Drosophila melanogaster: one gene and its partner. Changing the gene in region 2 together with the main gene of any one other region gives a genetic interaction. Each region holds a gene or a part of one and is shown on either strand. Other genes may lie near its edges.

Region 1 (7,486 bases), 9.2 Mb from region 2:
ATAAATATATGTATTCCTCTTTTTAGAGCTGAAACCAACACGCCGCCAGTTTTTAGTACAAACTCGTACCTCGCCGACGAGGAGAAGGAGATGGAGTTCCTGCGCAAGCTTTGCGAGATTATGGTGATCCTGCTGCTGCCACGCGGTTATTCCCTGCCCCCATTGAAGGTCTTGCTCAGCGAGATTCTCTCCTACAAGAGTAAGAACCATTGCCGCTTAATAAACGACACGTTTTACTTAGTATCCTGTCCGCAGTTTTCTTTCCGATGATCAAAATGCTGACAGCACCGGACTACATCAACCAGAAGGTGGTCCAAAACATTGAAACTCGCTTGGCAGCGGCGGCCATGAGCAAGAGAAGCTACGAGTATGCAGCCAGCTTCGAGGATTTCCTCAAAATCATCAACAACTCGGGCAACCTCGAGGAGCTCTCGCTCATCCGCAAGAGCATAGTAAACGATCTGATGCATGCTACTACCATGCAGAATCTACAGCGTGCCAAAGGCCTCGATCCGGATCACGAGGACCACTCGCTCTCCAAGTCGGAGCTCACAGCCGCCGTCCGACTGAAGCGCTACGTACGCCAACTCACAATGGCCAAGGGCGAGTGCGAGAAGAATCTGGCCAAGTTCGGCTGGAATGGCAATTACTCGAGTGATATTGTAATTAAACTTTAGCATTCCCCATATCCACAACACTGATAAACTCAATTATTATTTGCAGGACCTAACACTGGTCGAGATCCTAAACACTGCGGTTGGCCGGCGCTACTTCACCCTGTTCCTGGAGCCGCTGAAGGCTAGCGCTCTGATTGGTTTCTACCTGGCCGTGGAGGAGATCAAGCACGCGCACAAGTCGGCCAGCCATCAGCTGGGCACGGAGATCTTTTACACCTACATCAGAGTGCCCAAGTCAGAGATCCAGATTGACAAGCACGAACGCAAACTGATCGAGACGTTCCTGCTGGGAGATGCCGAGCCTGACATCTTCTATGACATCCAGCGCAATGTACTACGCACGCTGGAGGAAAAGTACTATCCGCCATTTGTGCTCAGCGATCAATATCGTCAGTTGAAGGAGGCATTGGACTCCAATGAGATTGCAGATCCCACGCTGCTAATGTGTCACACCATTGGCGATGTACAGGAGCCGCTGGCGGATGAGCAACCGGGCGCGGCGGATGGACTAAATGGCGGAGCTGGTGGTGCCATCGATGTGGCCGCCCACACATCCTATGCACGACGAAAATTGGAACAAATACAGGAACGGATTGATAAAAAGAATCAGGCGCTGGACGCCCTCAAATATTCCGTGAAGCCGGAGTCCAAGGTGCTGACCATTCTCGAAAAGGAGATGGAGTGGCTGAAGAGCGAGAAGCGACAGACAGAGGCGCATTTGCGTCGCACGGACGCCTGGACAGAGCATCTGGGCAAGTGGAAGGCTACCATCCAAAGTGTAGAGGTCAGTGCTCCATCCCTGAGTGATTTTATCAGCCATCTTCAATTTTTTTTTTTTTTTTGCATCTTTTAGGTCTCCGATGAGAAAGAGTCCTTGCAGTTTATGATCTTGGTTCATGTGGACGAGGATATTAATGCCCCAGTACAACCGACTTCATCCAAAAACGGTGACAGCGGCCATGCCAATCTACGTAAGCGACCGTCGGGCATTTCCAGTGGTTGGGTAGTAATGCGCTCCCTTAATCAAGTCCATGTGTGTATTCCCTTTAAGATTCTATAGATCACTCTCACTAACATTTTGGTTATTTGTGAAGGAACTACAACGGAAGCTGAGACACGTGAGCTCTAACCTGAAGGCCATCGACCTGCCTACGAACTTTAAGTTCTTTTTTCTGAAAACAGATCGTCATGGTCAGGAAAAGGCCAAGTCACAGATTCAGAAGTTCTTGAATGTAAGTTTAATTTTTTCTTTTACACCATAGATAAGTTTGTGATTCCATACTTTTTGGCCACTTAGTTTATCCTGGAGGACGATCATTTGAATGGCAGCGAGGCCATCTACACGTTTCTTAGCCCAAGTTCCGACCACCTGAAACAATCGCTGCCCTCGCCAAAGAAGTCCAAATTCTCGCTATCTACGCTATTCCGCAGCGATGCTGGCAAAGCTCACGAGGCCAGCAAGGCAACCGATCCGTTTTGGGGTCTGCAGCGCGATGACGAGGATATATCTACCTATTTAGACGGCGAGTCCGGCGGTGAGGCTAAAATGCTAGCAGCGGATCTGGATAGCAAGGATTCGATAGCAGAACCGATGTACGCTCTAATGGGCGAAATCTTTGACATGGGCGGAGTTTTCAAGTGGTTGCGTAAGAGTCTCATCTCGTTTGTGCAGATCACATACGGCCGTACGATCAATCGACAGATCCGCGAATCGGTGGCCTATCTCTTTGAGGAGTCTATGCTGCACAACTACTTTTCGGCCATCCTCAAGTCATTTTGGCCAGGCGGAGTTCTTGCCTCCGCCTATCCGACGCGATCGGAGGATATGCGCGAAATGACCACCACGGCGGCCAAGGCCCTGCTCACCGATCACATACCGGAGGTACTGTGCAACCTGGTCGGTGCACAGGCTGCCAAACGGGGTGTCCTTAAGGTTTTCGATGCCCTGCAGAATCCCGCCTACAACAAGCAGCTATTCTACGTGAGTAGTGGTTTCAGTGGTCATATAGCCAAATATACAATTGGTATCTCTAATCTTCAGGAGCTGCTGGAGATACTTATGATTGAGTTCTTTCCTGAAATCCGACAATTGCGCGTCAGCAACTCCAATGGAACCAAGTTAAATACGGCTACTGCTGGAGCGGCAGCTGCATCCGCCGCTGCGGCACTGGTGGCTGCCACGGCATCAGCTTCGCTGCCCTCGCTTAATCATAGTGGTGGGGGTCACAGTGCATCCACGGGGGGTCACCAAAACCATCAGGGATCCTCGTCGGCCAGCGGATCCTCAGCTGGCGCGAGTGGCGCCACCGGTGGTGGTGCCGCCTCGCACCACCAATCGCATTACCACCACGGATCCCACCACCACCAGCAGCAGCAGCACCACCATTCGCAAGCGGGCAGTTCGAAGTGAAGTGAACTTAAGAAGAACCACTTCGTTTTAGATTTTACTTTAACCTAAACCCTTTTTTTTATTTATGTTATGTTTTGTTTGATTTTATGTTCAATGTTTAATGCTCTCCCTCTTTCTAACCGGTGGATATTGTTGATTTAGCCGAGGAAAGGGATTACAAAGAATAGTTATGTAGAACACAACACAACTCAGTAGTACCAGTATCATTCCCTGTACAAATGCAGACTTACAATCCATATGAATTCAGTTCTTGTTGATTCGTTCGTCCATCACTTCCTGTAGCCAGATTTGTTTGTTATGTGTATATGTCTGTACATAGGTCAGTATTAAGCGTTGTACCAAATCGTTGTTTATATACTCGTATAGTAAATTGTGACACTCAGTTTGGATTGATTTTAATTATAGTTTAGTAGCAGATATTGAGCCCAAAGTTGCGTCTGCAGCTGGCGTTGAGTCGGTGCTTGTGATTCCCATGCCGCGCCAGCTGTAGATCCATCCTCCCCCCAAAAATATTATAGAAACACAACAGGTGAGATTAGTTTGAGGCAAGCTAATGGGCGTCCAGAACAGTGCGTTCCATGGCCATAAAGCAACTTCCGTATTGACACACATTGTATTCTTTTTCGAATTTGTATTAAAATGATTCAATTGTTGCACATCGATAACCATCAATTAAAAATTGTATTTGAAATTTCCTAATTGACCAAAATTGGTAATGGTATCAAATAATCTTAAAGACTAAGCGTTGATTGAGGCTGTCTTAAAAAACAGAACGTTTGATAACACAATAAAACAGTCGCAAGTCAGGACTTTAAAGAAGCATTAATCCTTAAGCATTTGTGGTTATCCAAATGCATTTTGATACCATGTTAAAACACACAACTCGAAATTACAACATTTAGAATTGACCCAAAATCAGTTTTGTGGACCTGAAACGCCCCGTAGACACCCACCCACCACCACCACGACCCAAAGACACCGGCACCTTCTGTAACACTAGGCAAAATGACACTTAGATGATTCATCCCCAATGAGCCAAACGTATCCCACTTAGGACCCACATTAAGAGTTTCGAGGCGCTTTCAATCTATTTATGTATTGCAGTTGTACACTTTTATGTGAAAATGCGAAATAAAGATCGCTATTTATGTAGATGGTTCACCAGTATTTTGATGGGACCACCCCACATACACTTAGAAAACGACCATATTTGCGACAAGCTTTTCCAGGGGAATGGCTTGCATGTCGACGACCACAATGACGAGATGATTGCGCACTCCCACCGGCTTTTTGATCATCAATCTTACCTCGAAGTATTTCAGCAGAAAGCGCCACTTTAGCTCGCTTTTCTCGCGCTCCGCCAGTCGCTCGAAGTCTTCAGCCCGAAGTCCCAGGATACGTTCTGCCGGATGTCCAGCTAACCGGGCTTCGACGAGAGTGCCGGTCTGGTCGGACAAATGAATGTTGATATTGAAGTAGCTAATGGATCGTGGTTCATCATTGTCCAATGAAAAATACTGCTGGCAGGCGTCCGAGGCGCAATCTTGCAGGTTCCGTGGTATATGTTGTTGACAGGCAATGCTGTAAAATAAAAGGGCTTTTAAGAATATGTCTTGTAAACTATGTAACGGATAGTGGGAAGCGTTTCGGCGGTTAGGAAGGGATGGGGATGTACAACACCCACCACTTCCTGTTGACGTGGGAGGTCAATCCATCCAAGTCGAACTTGGTGACCATCCCATACAGCACTGCAGTAAACTGATGTATGGACGGATCCTGCAGTTCGCCCTCGGCGCGTGAATATATCTGTCTTACCGTCATCTGCGCCTGAATGCTGGCAACTGAAAGAGTTATAGTAAATAATAATACTGCATTAATTATCCTTTACTCACCTGCAGGCATGTTGTCCAGCTCTGCCTGGTCACAGCCACTAAAAGTTGTTAGAGGCACAGTGGCGGCGAAAGCTAGCAAGAGACGGCAATCATCTCCAGCCGCCTGAGGATTTTCGCAAATAAGTGTGCAATTGGAATGGGAGAGGACGAGAGAACGATGAAAGTTCGAGTAGGAAACACGCACGTCGATCAAATGAAGGACAGTGCGACGTGGCTGCCATTGCTGGGCACGTTGTATCCAGTCGGGTTGCCAAACGGAGAGCAGCATACCTTCCGGATAGCTGGCATCGATCACGATTACTTCCAAGCACTGTAGCAGCTCCTGGACCTCACTTAGTGGCCCCTGCAGCTTTCGCTTTATCTGACGCACTGGACGCACTGCAGCCACTACTACCAGTAGATTCACATTGGTGGTGATTATCTTATCGGGAAATCCCAAGCCGGAACGCACATCCGCCAGCTTAAGGACCGCACCAAGTGGCCTTATGGGCTGATGGAGTAACTGCTGGAGAATTGTTATTTGGCCAAAGTCGTCATTGTCGTGGCGCACCACATAGCCGGATCCCTCGTTGACCACCAGGGCGCAGGAGACCGTCGCTTGGGGCTGATAACGCTGTTCTCCCGGAGCAGCAAACGGTATGGACATCACTTTAGCGCCCACAATGTCTACCACATGGCCGATCTGCAGCATGGCCGCGTACTCATCCACACAGTCCCGCTGGCCCCAGCACTTGCAATTGGTCAGGTGATTGGGGGAATCTCGGATGGTCAAGCTGAGAACCCCTCGTTCGGTGCCACTCATCTTGTCATAGAAGATGTTCGGCGAGGATTTGGAGACAATCAGGGCAACGGTGGAGAAACGGGTCATTGTGGGACGCATCTCTGCCAACCGCTGGAACTTAATACGCCTTGCCATTGAAATTATTTAAGAAATCGCGACCAGTCAGATTGCAGTGCTTAAGAAAACCGTTACATTGCCGTTACCGCCGATTAGTAGTTATCGATGTTTGTAGTGATGGTACACCACAAATGGCCGTAGATTCAGTTAGTAACAGAAAGTATTGCTAACAACTTAGTTTGATAAAAACCACAATTAAAACATTTACAGAAAGTTGCGCTTATTAATTGTAACCATTGGAATCGATAATAATCGGATGGCATCCGAATACCAGACGTACCATCCCTAATAAGCTGACACACACTACGCATATGTGCACCCGCGCACACACACACGCACACACAGAGGGGAACGGCACAGATTTACTGCGTTAAACAAACTCACTTGTCGCACTTTTCCACGAATGCCAGTGCGCTGAAAGTGAAACCCATCCGCCGGAGCATAGTAGGATTAGCCAGGACAACCGTTCAGCTCAGTGCCCCAGAAGCATTTAATTGGAGGAGCAACAGTCGAGCAACCCGCGACCCGCAGACCCAGTCTTGGCAGCCCACAGCCACTCAAAATGGTCAAACTATTCGCGTTGAGCATCTTTCACAAGGGCGCCAGCGAGGCGCGTCTCCTGAAGACCGCCTCGGACCTGCAGTCCTTCTCCTTTTTCCAACGTGGCACCGTCAACGAGTTCATGACGTGAGTATGCATGTGGATGCCAAAGAACGGCGCAGGCTCAAAGAGTCATCAATGACGAACACCCCCCTAAACAACTCCTCCTCTTGCAGTTTCGCTTCGAAGACGATTGTGGAGCGCACACAGCCGGCCCTGCGGCAATCGGTGAAACAGGATGCCTACATGTGTCATGTCTATGTGCGGGCGGACAATCTGGCCGGTGTACTGATCGCCGATCATGAGTATCCGCATCGCGTGGCGCACACGCTTATCACAAAGATTCTGGATGACTTTACGGCCAAGGTGTCGGCCGATCAGTGGCCCAATGGCACGGAGGCCACTATCTCATTTGACTTGCTGCCAGCGTTTCTAGCACGCTATCAAAATCCCGTCGAAGCAGATCCGCTGACGAAAATGCAAAACGACCTGGACGAAACGAAGATCATACTGAAGAATACCATCGAGGCGGTGCTGGAGCGGGGCGAGAAGCTGGACGACATGGTCAGCAAGTCGGAGAAATTGTCGCTGCAGAGCAAGGCGTTCTACAAGACGGCGAAAAAGACTAACTCCTGCTGCAGCTTCACCTAGACGACAGCTGCACCTCTCATCACCCCCCACCACACGCTAATCCTCTCAAGCAACAACCACAACAGGAAACACCAGAAAATGCAAATCAAAGACAACACAAAGGATAATGGATAACACGATAACACCAACAAACTACAACCAAACAAACTCCAAGGGAGCGGTGCGACTTGGGCTTTGATGATTGCTTTTTATAAATGAATTAGTTAATTTTATATACTATATATATATATTATATTATATACTGTATGAATAGGATGGCCAGTTGCCAGTTACGATAGTCCGCTAACCCAATGTCTACCTGTCTGTATATGTCTACGCTTTGGATATCTAAATGTTAATTACTACCAATACAGATTAC
Region 2 (11,373 bases):
GCTGAGCGCCATCGGTTAAGGTGGTCTTGCGCTGATGCAACAGATGTATAAGCATGCGCATATCGTCCTCGGGAATGCTCAAGCCATCGTTGACTACAATTTGACCCTCAGCGTTGTGCTTCTGAATTATAGAGTTCCAGAGACTATTGCTGGCCTGAGCACCCATATAAATTGGCAGCCCGAAGATTCTGCAAATTAGGTTAACTTAATATACAAGCGTAATTTCTAGTTTTGTCCACCTTACGGGCACAGTTTGGCGAGGGCCAGTGTTTGATTGGTGGAGTTGTTCGGCTGCCAGTAAGTCCAAACGGCTGCCTTTAAGGGCTGATCGATGTGCAACTGCGGAACTGGGACCGCTCCATTTTCGATGCACTTTTCCAGCTGGCATCCCTGATCCTTGGACAGACGATTCCAATCGCCGGCGTAGTAAACTCCCTGTTGTGCCAATAGTAAAGGACTGGCCACTATCCAATTAAAGCGCGTGGGCAGGGCATTGAAAGTGGGCTGCAGTCCGTATTCGTGGGGTCCCAGGAAACGTGGTGCCAGTTGGCCCACTTTGTTAAGTAGACGGTTGGCCATCAGGCTGTCGGTGGCGATTATGCATAGCGAAATTGGAGCCCGCACCTCATCAGATTCGATTGAAACGATACTGGCCAGCAGTATCATCTTCAGGTACACAAAGCAATCCATAGGCACACAGTCCTGACTGATCTGAGCACTTAGGGCGTAGACAAAGGAGTAGTCAGAATACTGCGATGAGATCAAGTGATGTAGTTTCTTGATGCTGGACGGCACGCAGTTTAGATCCGGCTTGGGATATTCTTGGCCGTGCTGTGATGGGGCTCGAAATATCATATGACGCTCGAGTGGTGGTCCTGCGTCCTTAGCGAGGTACGCGTTTTCCTCGCCGTGTTCGTCGGCGACGACCTGGTTCTCCGACTGGAAACTCGGGGGCTCTATCTCCGACTCCCACTGCCATTCCTGGTCCTGTTGCTCCGGCTGGGTTTCCTCCTGATCCATATCCAACAGAGGCCTGCTGTACATTAGGTCCTCGTCCTGGTGGATGCATGATTCCCACAAGTGTTGCTGGTGCTGGTTCTCCACCGGCGGCGAACTGAGAGTATGCGATAACTGGGTGGGCCCGGAAATGCTGGATGGGAGGCGGCTGGAGCTCATATGCTGGATGGGGGGTGGCGAACTGGTAAATATATCCATATTGGTGGTGCCAACCCCTGTACACGGGAGACTGGCTAGCCGAAAAACCGACTGGCTGACACTGTTGCTTTGGATTTCAACCGGAATTTGTGGTGACGAGTTGCTCCATATAATTCCCGACTGCTGATCAAAATAGAACACGGGCGGCAGATTGCCGGTGGCACTCACCTCGATCATTGCCGGTGGTACAATGGCTTCGATCGGTGTGTCGACTGTCTGTCGTGGTGGACATGGCTGATCATCTATCTCAGAGGTGTATTCGAGTATTGGTTCTGGGGCGCTGTCAGGATTTGGTAGTTGCTCGCGTGGGTTATTTTTTTTCGCGTGCAAAGAGCGCGTAAAACGCTGTCGACAGCGTCTTTGCTGTAATTGTCCAATATAGAAAGGGTTATCTAATGAGGATTAAACTTACGGTGCAGTAACTTACGCTCAATCTAGACACTTTGTGGGTTAGATGGGATTCTCCGGTAGGGTGGAACTCCTTAGCATTTGAGTTCAAAACGCTGCCCATAGCCAATTTTCGCATGTGGCTGCTCGCATGGATTTCTGGTGAGCTTTTCACCTGGCGCGGTTTCTCCTGTTGCTGGTACGGCACCACCTCTTTTTCCGGCGTTTTCCCTGAAGATCCCTCAAGCAAGGACTCTGTAAACTCTCGACTTACCGCCTGCAGACTGCGCACCATCCGGGGGTTGTGATTGCGACGTGGGAATCTCCTCTGCCTTCTCTCACTTTGATTAGGCGTCGGCGGCATAACATCCTCGTCCTCATTGTGGACAACACTGGGACCCGAAGATTGAGTGGTCTGCTGTCTGGGCGCAATGCGGATTGGTGCCGAAGAATTGTTTGTAACTGAAGCTCTCTTCGCAGGGCTCCTTGAGTGCAAGTAAATGAGCTCGGTAGGTCTCTCTGATTGCGACTGAGTATGATTAACAGGGTTCATCTGCTGCTGAACAGAAGTTTTCGGACAATTCTGAAGAATCTTTGGCTTCTGCTGCTGTTGTTGTTTCCAAGAGTGCTGAATGCCAGGAGACTTCTGATTGTTTTGGCTCCTTTCATTATTGGCAGGACTCTTCTGTTGCTGCTGTTGGAATTTGCTGGGAGAATTTTCAGAACTCTTCTGCTGTAAAGAACTGGCAGAACTCTTCTGATGATGCGAGGAATTGACCCAACTCCTTTGCTTCTGTATGAAATTGACCGAACTCCTCTGCTGCTGTGAAGAATTGACCCAACTCTTCCGCTTCTGTAAGGAATGGACCGAACTATTCTGCTGCTGTAAGGAACTGGCAGAACTGTTTTGCTGCTGTAAAGAATTGGCGGAAGCCATCTGCTGCATGTTAGTAAAACCGACAGAACTCTTCTGCTGCTCCTTTGGAGAGTTAGGTGTTTTCTGCTGATGCTCGACAGAATTAGCCGGACTTGTCTCCTCCTGTTGGGATTTAGCTGGAGTATTCTGCTCCTGTTGGATATTCTTCTCACCCGGAGAGGACTGGGCAGAACTTTTTGGCGTCAGCGGCTGTACTGAATCTTTACTCAGCAGTGTTATATTGGTCGAAGAAGAGCAACGTGCCTGGTCGCTTAAAGACTTTTGGCTGTCGCTAGGACGTACTGACGACAGCCAAGTGGTCACCGATTGATGATTGCTGTTGCTCGATTTCGGAAGCATGAAATCCGGCAAAAAGTTACCCAGCACAGGCGGATCTTTTACGCGACTAAAACGACTGGCAAGGCACGAAACAGTGCCGCCGTCATCTTGATTACGCACCCGCGGCGTTCGTTGTTTGAATCTCTTCGGGCGCTGGCCCAAATCAGGATACTCTTCGGCACTCACAACAAAGCTACGATCAGGCTTAGTGACTTCTTTAGATAAGCGCCAGACGTTAACATTTGGTTTGTAGACACCGGCCTTCGGTGTGGGAGTCATAATAGGCGTCACATCGCTTTCGACCAGGCCATTCGATGGTATGGTGCTGGGCATTGGGGGATACATTAATATATTTGCTTATTATAATGGTGTAAATAGAATATTCTACCCTATGGAGCTTGTGTTGGCATTTTGAGTAACTTCACGAACTTCACCATCGTCATCGTTGCGCAAGAAAACATTAAGCTGGAGGGGAATGTGCCTACGAGGGTCCTTTTTCTCTAGTTTATTCGTAGATGACATGCTTCCAGTTGATATGTGCTGGCTGAGCTCGCAAAGTATCCAGTGATTAGGTAGCTAGCACCCAACTTTAATTCGCAGTCGTGGGCGTGGGCTAAGAAATGTTGTTAATATTATGATTATTCATGATAGTGACATCCAAATGAGTATGTCCTAGTTTACCAGGCATATTTAATTTCACGTGTTTATGATGTCCTGAATACCAGATTCACTTACCTCTAAGGCGAACTAATTTTGGGCGATGAAGGCAATTGGTGACACGAGGTGTCTGAACTGCCGAAATAGGCAAGACAGCCAAGATACGATAGGTTTCCGTGACGCGCAGCTTTTGGTATTCACTCATGGGCCGCGAGCAGCTCGAACAAAAGGGTGCTGAAAGATATCAAGAAGATGGATTAGCAATGGAGCTGGCACAGGATCTCGTGAACAAGGAATGCTGGGTTAGATAACATTTTGTTAGACAGGGTTCCGAGGGTTGTGAGTATGGCTAGAGGTTAGAGGTTGTTAGTTAGAGGTTGTTGGCTGTGCCACAATTTGGATAAAGTGCACGTTGTTTCTTTATGTTCCTAGCCTATGGGACCTACCATCTGTTGAGCTGGTCTGTATGGCATTTCGCATACAGCCACTGCCGCAGTACCAGATCGATTGTAGGCTACAATGGAATATCAGGATATAAATTACACATATTATCAAAGATTGGTACACCCTAGCAGAGCAGCTGTGTGTTTTATAATTAATATGTTTAGAAACAGATATTGCCTAAAGCATAAGAAAATAATACATGCAATAGACAAATAATAAATACCATTAACCCACTTAAATAAAAAATAACGATAATACGATCCATGCTTTTTTAACTTTAACAACAATGAACATTCATAGAAAGTTAATGGGATATAGATATACTTCTTTTGTAGGTTGGTATTTACACTTAAGAGACTAAGCTTAAAACCCTCTTGAACTAAACCAAAAAGGGTAAACCAGCTTGGCTAGCTTGGTTAGTTAAGAACTATAACTATAATTAATCAGGCATGACAGGATACATAGTACCCAAACATAACCAAATCGAATAAGAAAAATGTGGAAAAAGCACACCAAAGCAAACTAGGGGAACATTGCAATTCTCTGCCAGGACATGTACAAACTGTAAAACTGACACCAGTGTTTCTTGCGGCGTGAAAGCGGCTAGGATGCCCCGGATCTGGGACAAGCCCAGCCGGGTCAACTGGTCCCGCGGCTCGAACTGCAGGCCCGGCGTAAAGGGCAGTCCCACCAGGCGCCAGTGGGCGTGCAGCTGGTTGATATCGATGGGCTTCAGGCCAGCGTCCTTGAGATGTGAGCGGATCAAGCCATAAACCGAGTAGCGGACCGCTTCTTGAAACTGCAGCGGTTCCTCGACGATGAGCTGCAGTAGTTGCGGTGAGATATCGAGTAGTTGCCGGTATTCGAAGTCCAGGCGCAGCTGGATGGGGGCCAGCAGGTCCTCTGGCCGCCGGGAGCTCATATAGTTCGCCACAAAGCGGCCAGAGGAGACCTGGACCAGCTTGAGCAGCTGCGTCTGCCGGCAAAAGTGCTCAACCAACTTCTGATCGTGGAATCTGTATTGTATATTAGCATTTCGTGTTTTATGTCTTTAGGAGCCTGCGAAAATAAATGCGCCCTGTTTTTTAACCAGGATTACCGTGCACTTACTGGCTTTTTAATGGAGTCTCGTTTACAACTGATGATCCTTCGCTTGCATCCACTGTGAACATTATACACTAATCCAGAAATGTGAACTTATTTCAATCCGACCTACTACCAAAGAATTTTAAAATGAAGTGTTTGACTAAGGAAAAATTGGAATTAAAACCGATTGCGATATGAAGTGTACCTATCGAGCCCTGATTTAAATCGATACTGAAGTTTTTCGATCGGGTAATGTGTGACTTAGATTTTAAATGTCGTTAAATGACTAATGACTAGCCTCCTACAATAAATGGATCTTTTGTTGCTTTGGCATAGAGTTCTTCAAAAGCGAAGAATAGAATATATAAATGTAGAATTTAAGGGCTTAAAACAATCGGAGTATTGTAAACTGTTGCCAGCTTTCCAATACATTTATTTTAGAAAAGTGATGCCAGATCGATGGAGTATCGCAACTATCTATAGATTTTATACACTAAAAAAACCGTATTTTAGTGATCTATCGTGAGTAGTTAGAGAAATATCTATGAAAGAAATTGTATCAATATCGATAAAAAAAACTTTTTAAAGTTTCAATTTGTTTAAACCATGTAATTTACTTTAATTTTTTAGCTAAATTTCATTTCAATATTTTTAGCTATTCCAAGCAAGACAATTTCACGTTTTACTCACGCTTAACCTCACATATTTCTGACACCAGCAGCCCGATAGAAAATAGCTAAAATATCCGTTCTTCTCTGACAACCAAGTTTATTATAAACTAAAAACTATAAAAAAAGAATGGTCTGAAGTGAATTTTTCATCTTGTTGTTTATTTTAGTTTTAGTGTATCATTTCTCAGTGTACACACGTTATTTGTATAAAAAAAAACAGACAGAAGTTTGTTTTTGCTGGTGATGATGTCTCCTTAACGGTTGGACTTGGCGACACGCTCCAACTCATCCTTCTTCTTGATGGCGTACGAGTTGGAAGATCCCTGGAAATACATTTAAACACAAGTTATTAGTATTGGCTATCAATGTTTTTCTAGATCTTTTATATGTTAATTGCGCTGTTATGTTACTGTTACTGCATTGTATGGATTCATCGCTTCTAAATAAATAAATATAAAAAAACAAGTCCCTAACTTATTTAAAGCTAGTGTTCCTTTACGTTTCTCATGTGCATTGAACTAAGCAATATTACAAGCACAAGGATAATAAAGGATGGAAATTAATCTGGTCCAAAAGCGAGACTACATAATTAAACCACCATGCAGAATTAGATTGGACCTATTATTAAGCTCTATATACCAACTCTTAAATAGTTTGCTAATGTTCTTTTACGTTTCTCGTGTGCATTAGACTGATATTGTCACAAGCACAAGGATAATAAAGGATGGTGATTGTTCTGGTCCAAAAGCGAGACTACATAATTAAACCACTATGCAGAATTAGATTGGACCCCCGCTATCCTAATCGAATCAGTTCCTAAATGCTAATTCATAAAAGTGTTCTTTTACGTTTCTCGTGTGCATAGGACAGTTAAGTGGTCACTAGCACAAGGATAATAAGAGATTTGGAGTTTGATCTGGTCCAAAAGCGAGACTACATAAATAAACCATGATGCAGAATTAGATTGGACTAGTTGAAATGACTAGCTGTGTCACTAGAAGGAAGAAAAGAGCTATTTCGAAGCTCAATTCTTGGGTTAATCCGAGTGCCGAACGTGGTTCTCGATCTGGTCTACAAGCGAGGCCAGGCATTTTGGTAGTACAATGCCAAGCATTAGAGTAGACCACCCCATTCCCACTTTGATCTCGCCACAAGCCCAATTTACCCACCTTAGCAGCGTTGATCAGCTCATCAGCCAGGCACTCGGCGATGGTCTTGATGTTCCTGAAGGCAGCCTCACGAGCTCCAGTGCACAGCAGCCAGATAGCCTAAAGGAAATATACGGAAAAAAATTAATTAAGTAACTTTATGAACGCAATCACAGCAGCGTAAGAATTTGGGGTTCTTATCGTTAGTAAAATGAAAGTGTGTTATGCAATTGATAATGTCTCTTCGTTTCATACGCCAAATGTCGGCTATACTACACATTATGACGCTACGGATATTAGATAGATTTTCGTTCTGGCCAAGTGTTATAAGCAAGCAGTCTCTAAACGAACCACAAGCCATTGCTACCGGCCACCGTGAGCACATGCATCTGGAAGGCAAATCTTCAGAAGAAACCCACCTGGTTGACGCGACGCAGGGGCGACACATCGACGGCCTGGCGACGGACGGTACCGGCACGTCCAATACGGGTGGAGTCCTCACGGGGTCCCGAGTTGATGATGGCGCTGACCAGGATCTGCAAAGAGGTCACAAAAAAAAATCGAAATGAGTAAGCTATCACTTGATCCACTCGAAGCACCAAAGTAGAATTTTTGCTGTTGATTTATTGCTTTATTAAGGTTGCATTTTTGAGGCCATGCCCTTAAGAGGAATAGCTAATCATGGGGTTTATTGTGGTCCAATTGAATACCACAACGCTGTAGGGATCAACGCTGCAGTTTTAGTTTTGGACGGATAATGATACCCTTGGTGAATAATGCTTAACTTTAGTGTTGTTTTAATTTCCAGGAGAGCAGGAAGTGGCTTATATCTTCAGGCACAAGGATAGTTAAAACAATTTCAATTGATATTAGTCCATTTTTGGTTATGCTCAGTATGGCATCGTATTTTTAAGCCATCTGGCATTGAGGTGGACTGACACGCGGTTTCTGAGAATAGGTTTTTGTTGATTTATGCTTTATTAAGGTTGCATTTTTGAGGCCATGCCCTTAAGAGGAATAGCTAATCATGGGGTTTATTATGGTCCAGTTGAATACCACAACCCTGTAAGGATCAACGCTGCAGTTTTAGTTTTGGACGGATAATGATACCCTTGGTGAATAATGCTTAACTTTAGTGTTGTTTTAATTTCCAGGAGAGCAGGAAGTGGCTTATATCTTCAAGCACAAGGATAGTTAAAACAATTTCAATTGATATTAGTCCATTTTTGGTTATGCTCAGTATGGCATCGTATTTTTAAGCCATCTGGCATTGAGGTGGACTGACACGCGGTTTCTGAGAATAGGATTTTGTTGATTTATGCTTTATTAAGATTGCATTTTTGAGGCCATGCCCTTAAGAGGAATAGCTAACCATGGGATTTCCTGTGGTCCAATTGAATGCCACAACGCTGCAGAGATCAACGCTGCAGTTTTAGTTTTGGACGGACACTGATCTCTGTAATGAATGCTTTCTTTCTAATGTAGTCTTAAATTCCAGGAGAGCGGGAAGTGGCTTAATCTTCAAGCACTAGGATAATTAACACTTATTCCTCTGAGTCTATTTAATATATGCCTTAGCTGGGATGGAATTTCCTTCAACTAGCATTGAGGTAGACTCATTGTGAAAGATCCACTAATATGCTATTGTCTTAAATGTCGAATTAAGTTCCAGGAGAGCGGGAAGTGGTTTTATCTTCAAGCACAAGGATAGTTAATACCTTTTCCTATGAGTCCATTAAGAGTTATGCTCAGTTCGGCTGAAAATTACCATCAACTGGCATTGAGGAGGACTCCTCTATAATACTATTGTAGCTTTAAGTTCCAGGAGAACCAGAATTTGCTTTCTATTCTAGCACTAGGATAATTAAATCTTTGGTTCACTATTAGTCCCTTTGAGAGTTATGCTTCGGAAAGTATGTAGAACATAGCCAGCATTGAGGAGGACTAGAAATCAGTGAAGATTCCCTTTAAATCAGTTTAAACCAAGGTACCGCATATGCTTTATAATGGTTTTGTAATGTGGTTTTAAGTTCCCGGAGAACAAGAAGAGGCTTTGATATCTTCAAGCACTAGGACATTAAAACCTTGTGTTCGCTCTGCGTGCCCATTCTACCCATGACCGAGTGGCAACGTTCTCTGGCCACAGTTTAGCATGGGACGCGGTGGAATTGGGAACATTTGGACGGGATGGGCATGTTTACCTGCAGAGGGTTCTCCCCGGTGAGCAGATGAATGATCTCGAACGAGTGCTTGACGATGCGGCAGGCCATCAGCTTCTTGCCGTTGTTGCGACCCTTCATCATCAGGGAGCAGGTCAAACGCTCCACAATGGGGCACTGGGCCTTGCGGAAACGCTTGGCGGCATAACGTCCGGCGGAATGGGGAAGATAGCGGGCAAACTTCTCCTTCACCGAGATGTAATCCTGCAGAGAGATGTCGTTAACGGTGACATCGTCGCAAGACCAGCGGCCGAACAGCTTGATCTCCGGCAGCTCAGTGGTGGACACCACATTTGTCTCCAGGATCGTCTCGGCCACCTCGGCTTCCATAGGTGCCGCTGGCTCCTCGAAGGTCTCCACCACGTTTTCAGCAACTTCGGCCATGCTGCAATAGTTTTTGGAAGGCAAATAAGTTAGTCACGTGTCTGCAAATCGGTATTGGTAATTCTACTGTGGGATGGGATACTTGAGGGCTTTGCGATCTATTACTATCACAGACATTCATTAATGGTTGGTTAATGGTATTTGTTCGTTGATTTTAATAAGCTAACTTCTATTATTGAACATCATTGTATGGCTTGAACATCACCTAGAAGTTTTACAGAAACGTGTTTTTCAGTATTTGTTTATGGAAACATCGTCCCTTTTGTACAAATTTTATACACATACAAATTGTTTATAACTTTAACTAGATTTCGTTTGAAAAATTCTTTTACAAATACAAAACCCAAGAAAAGGCTGTGATAAACTGATACGAATAATTTTTAGAGCCTTAACATTCGTTTTTAAATCTTAAAAACGTCTTAAAACAAAAATAAACTACAAAAAAAGTTCCAAGGTTTATGAAAGACGGAAGTTTCAGTGAAGATTACGTTTAAGTATACAAAAAGGGTCACAATAACTTTTAAATACATATTTAAGTAGTTTTCCTGCGTTAACACGTTTTTTTTAAACTGTAGATGGGCGCTATACGCACACACACACACGCATAAGCACCGTAAAAAACACACGCGCGTTGTTGTTGTTGAATTGCGAGTTTTTAAGGGTTTATACTTTCTTGAAGGTTATCCTTTTGGATAATTGGCTCAATATACGTGGATGTATATTGTATTAAACATATTCTTGCGCTGCAAGCAGATAAAAAAAATATACAAAAAAAAAGGGGAAACAAACACGTGTGACGCACACACACAGTTGCACTCGCGCGCACACACACAAACAAAAAGCCGCCCGTTTTTAACCTCATTTCGGTGGAAATGGCAATATTCCGCAGTTTGCCGCAGTAAATTCACAAAACCCTTAGTATCCACACTAGTTGCCAGCGTTTAGCCGTCTTTTGGCCATCCTCTGGCCACAATCCACACAATTAAACGTTGAAAATCCCTTACTTTGTCACAGAAGAAATCGAGATACGATGTCAGCGCAAAGGCAAACGCCTGAAAAAGAACATGTTACGGCAGTGTGCAGCAACGCCAGAGAGTCCGCTTCCGCCGACACGCACACGGTTGCATTCCGGCTGCCAGGGCTGCGCAACAAGTGAACTATCGAACGGAGATAGGCGGCCATGAGTGGGGATTATTCCTCGACTTAATCACTTTTTCGAACGCGTTTGCTACTTGAGTTGCACATTTATATGTACTTCATAGAAATATACCCTGCTTTCAGGCATACTATTAGTTTTAAGCCACTTTTTTAATGACAAATTTCGAACTTTCTATCGATATGCGGCATTTCGCGGTTTTGCCAGTCACAACGGGTGGCGATAGTTGAAATTCGCATGCCAAATTTTCTTTATTACGGTCACCTTATAGAAATTTTGATATGCTTGAGTATTAAATGTTATTATTTCACTGACTGTAAAATAAAAAGTTATTTAAATCGTAATGCATATATATTTATAACATATAGTTCTTTATTTGATTTTGTAAGTGGAAAAAAATATGTGGTATGTAAAGATTATATATATGGGATATATAAAATACACAAAAATTTTACTATATTACATAGTAAATTTAAGGGTGGTAAAACGTTTTTACACGAATACAATATCCAAATACTTTAGTAAAATATATTTTTAATCATAAGAATTTACCCATATTATTAACTTTTCTGGCACATTCTATATCCGATAGTTTACACCTTATGCCTTAGTATTTTTCGGTATTTTCTCCGGCCACACTGGCAGCAGGCCGAAGTTTCTCGTCCAATTGGGATTATTTCGGAATTTCAGTTACTAGCTCGTCATCAAAACAGCAACAACTGTTGAGAATAAAATTCTTGCGTGAAACCGA

What was found. A genetic interaction does not mean that the proteins touch.
Region 1: of mei-218 (region 2) and hdm, changing one suppresses a phenotype caused by changing the other (phenotypic suppression), as found in Drosophila melanogaster (one study listed by BioGRID).

Annotation. Positions count from the first base shown.
Region 1 is NC_004354.4:7,914,237-7,921,722, forward strand, and holds hdm (hold'em), read right to left. Parts: upstream 5,896-7,486; coding exon 4,980-5,895; intron 4,929-4,979; coding exon 4,772-4,928; intron 4,669-4,771; coding exon 4,281-4,668; downstream 1-4,280. Other genes in the region: snz (snazarus), read left to right, coding at 27-199, 256-662, 724-1,461, 1,531-1,710, 1,772-1,909, 1,975-2,658, 2,719-3,087; YKT6 v-SNARE, read left to right, coding at 6,440-6,564, 6,654-7,128. UniProt on the Drosophila melanogaster protein: Single-stranded DNA-binding protein required for meiosis. May be involved in the resolution of recombination intermediates into crossovers in the meiotic recombination pathway.
Region 2 is NC_004354.4:17,137,734-17,149,106, forward strand, and holds the start of mei-218 (meiotic 218), read right to left. Parts: upstream 5,258-11,373; 5' UTR 5,131-5,257; coding exon of another isoform or gene 5,069-5,130; 5' UTR 4,975-5,068; coding exon of another isoform or gene 4,534-4,974; 5' UTR 4,029-4,533; coding exon of another isoform or gene 3,961-4,028; intron 3,862-3,960; exon of another isoform or gene 3,749-3,861; coding exon of another isoform or gene 3,593-3,748; intron 3,471-3,592; coding exon of another isoform or gene 3,380-3,470; coding exon 3,246-3,379; intron 3,183-3,245; coding exon 1,643-3,182; intron 1,579-1,642; coding exon 245-1,578; intron 189-244; coding exon 1-188. Other genes in the region: mei-217 (meiotic 217), read right to left, coding at 3,358-3,470, 3,593-3,748, 3,961-4,028, 4,534-4,974, 5,069-5,130; RpS5a (ribosomal protein S5a), read right to left, coding at 5,970-6,038, 6,885-6,983, 7,283-7,399, 9,065-9,466.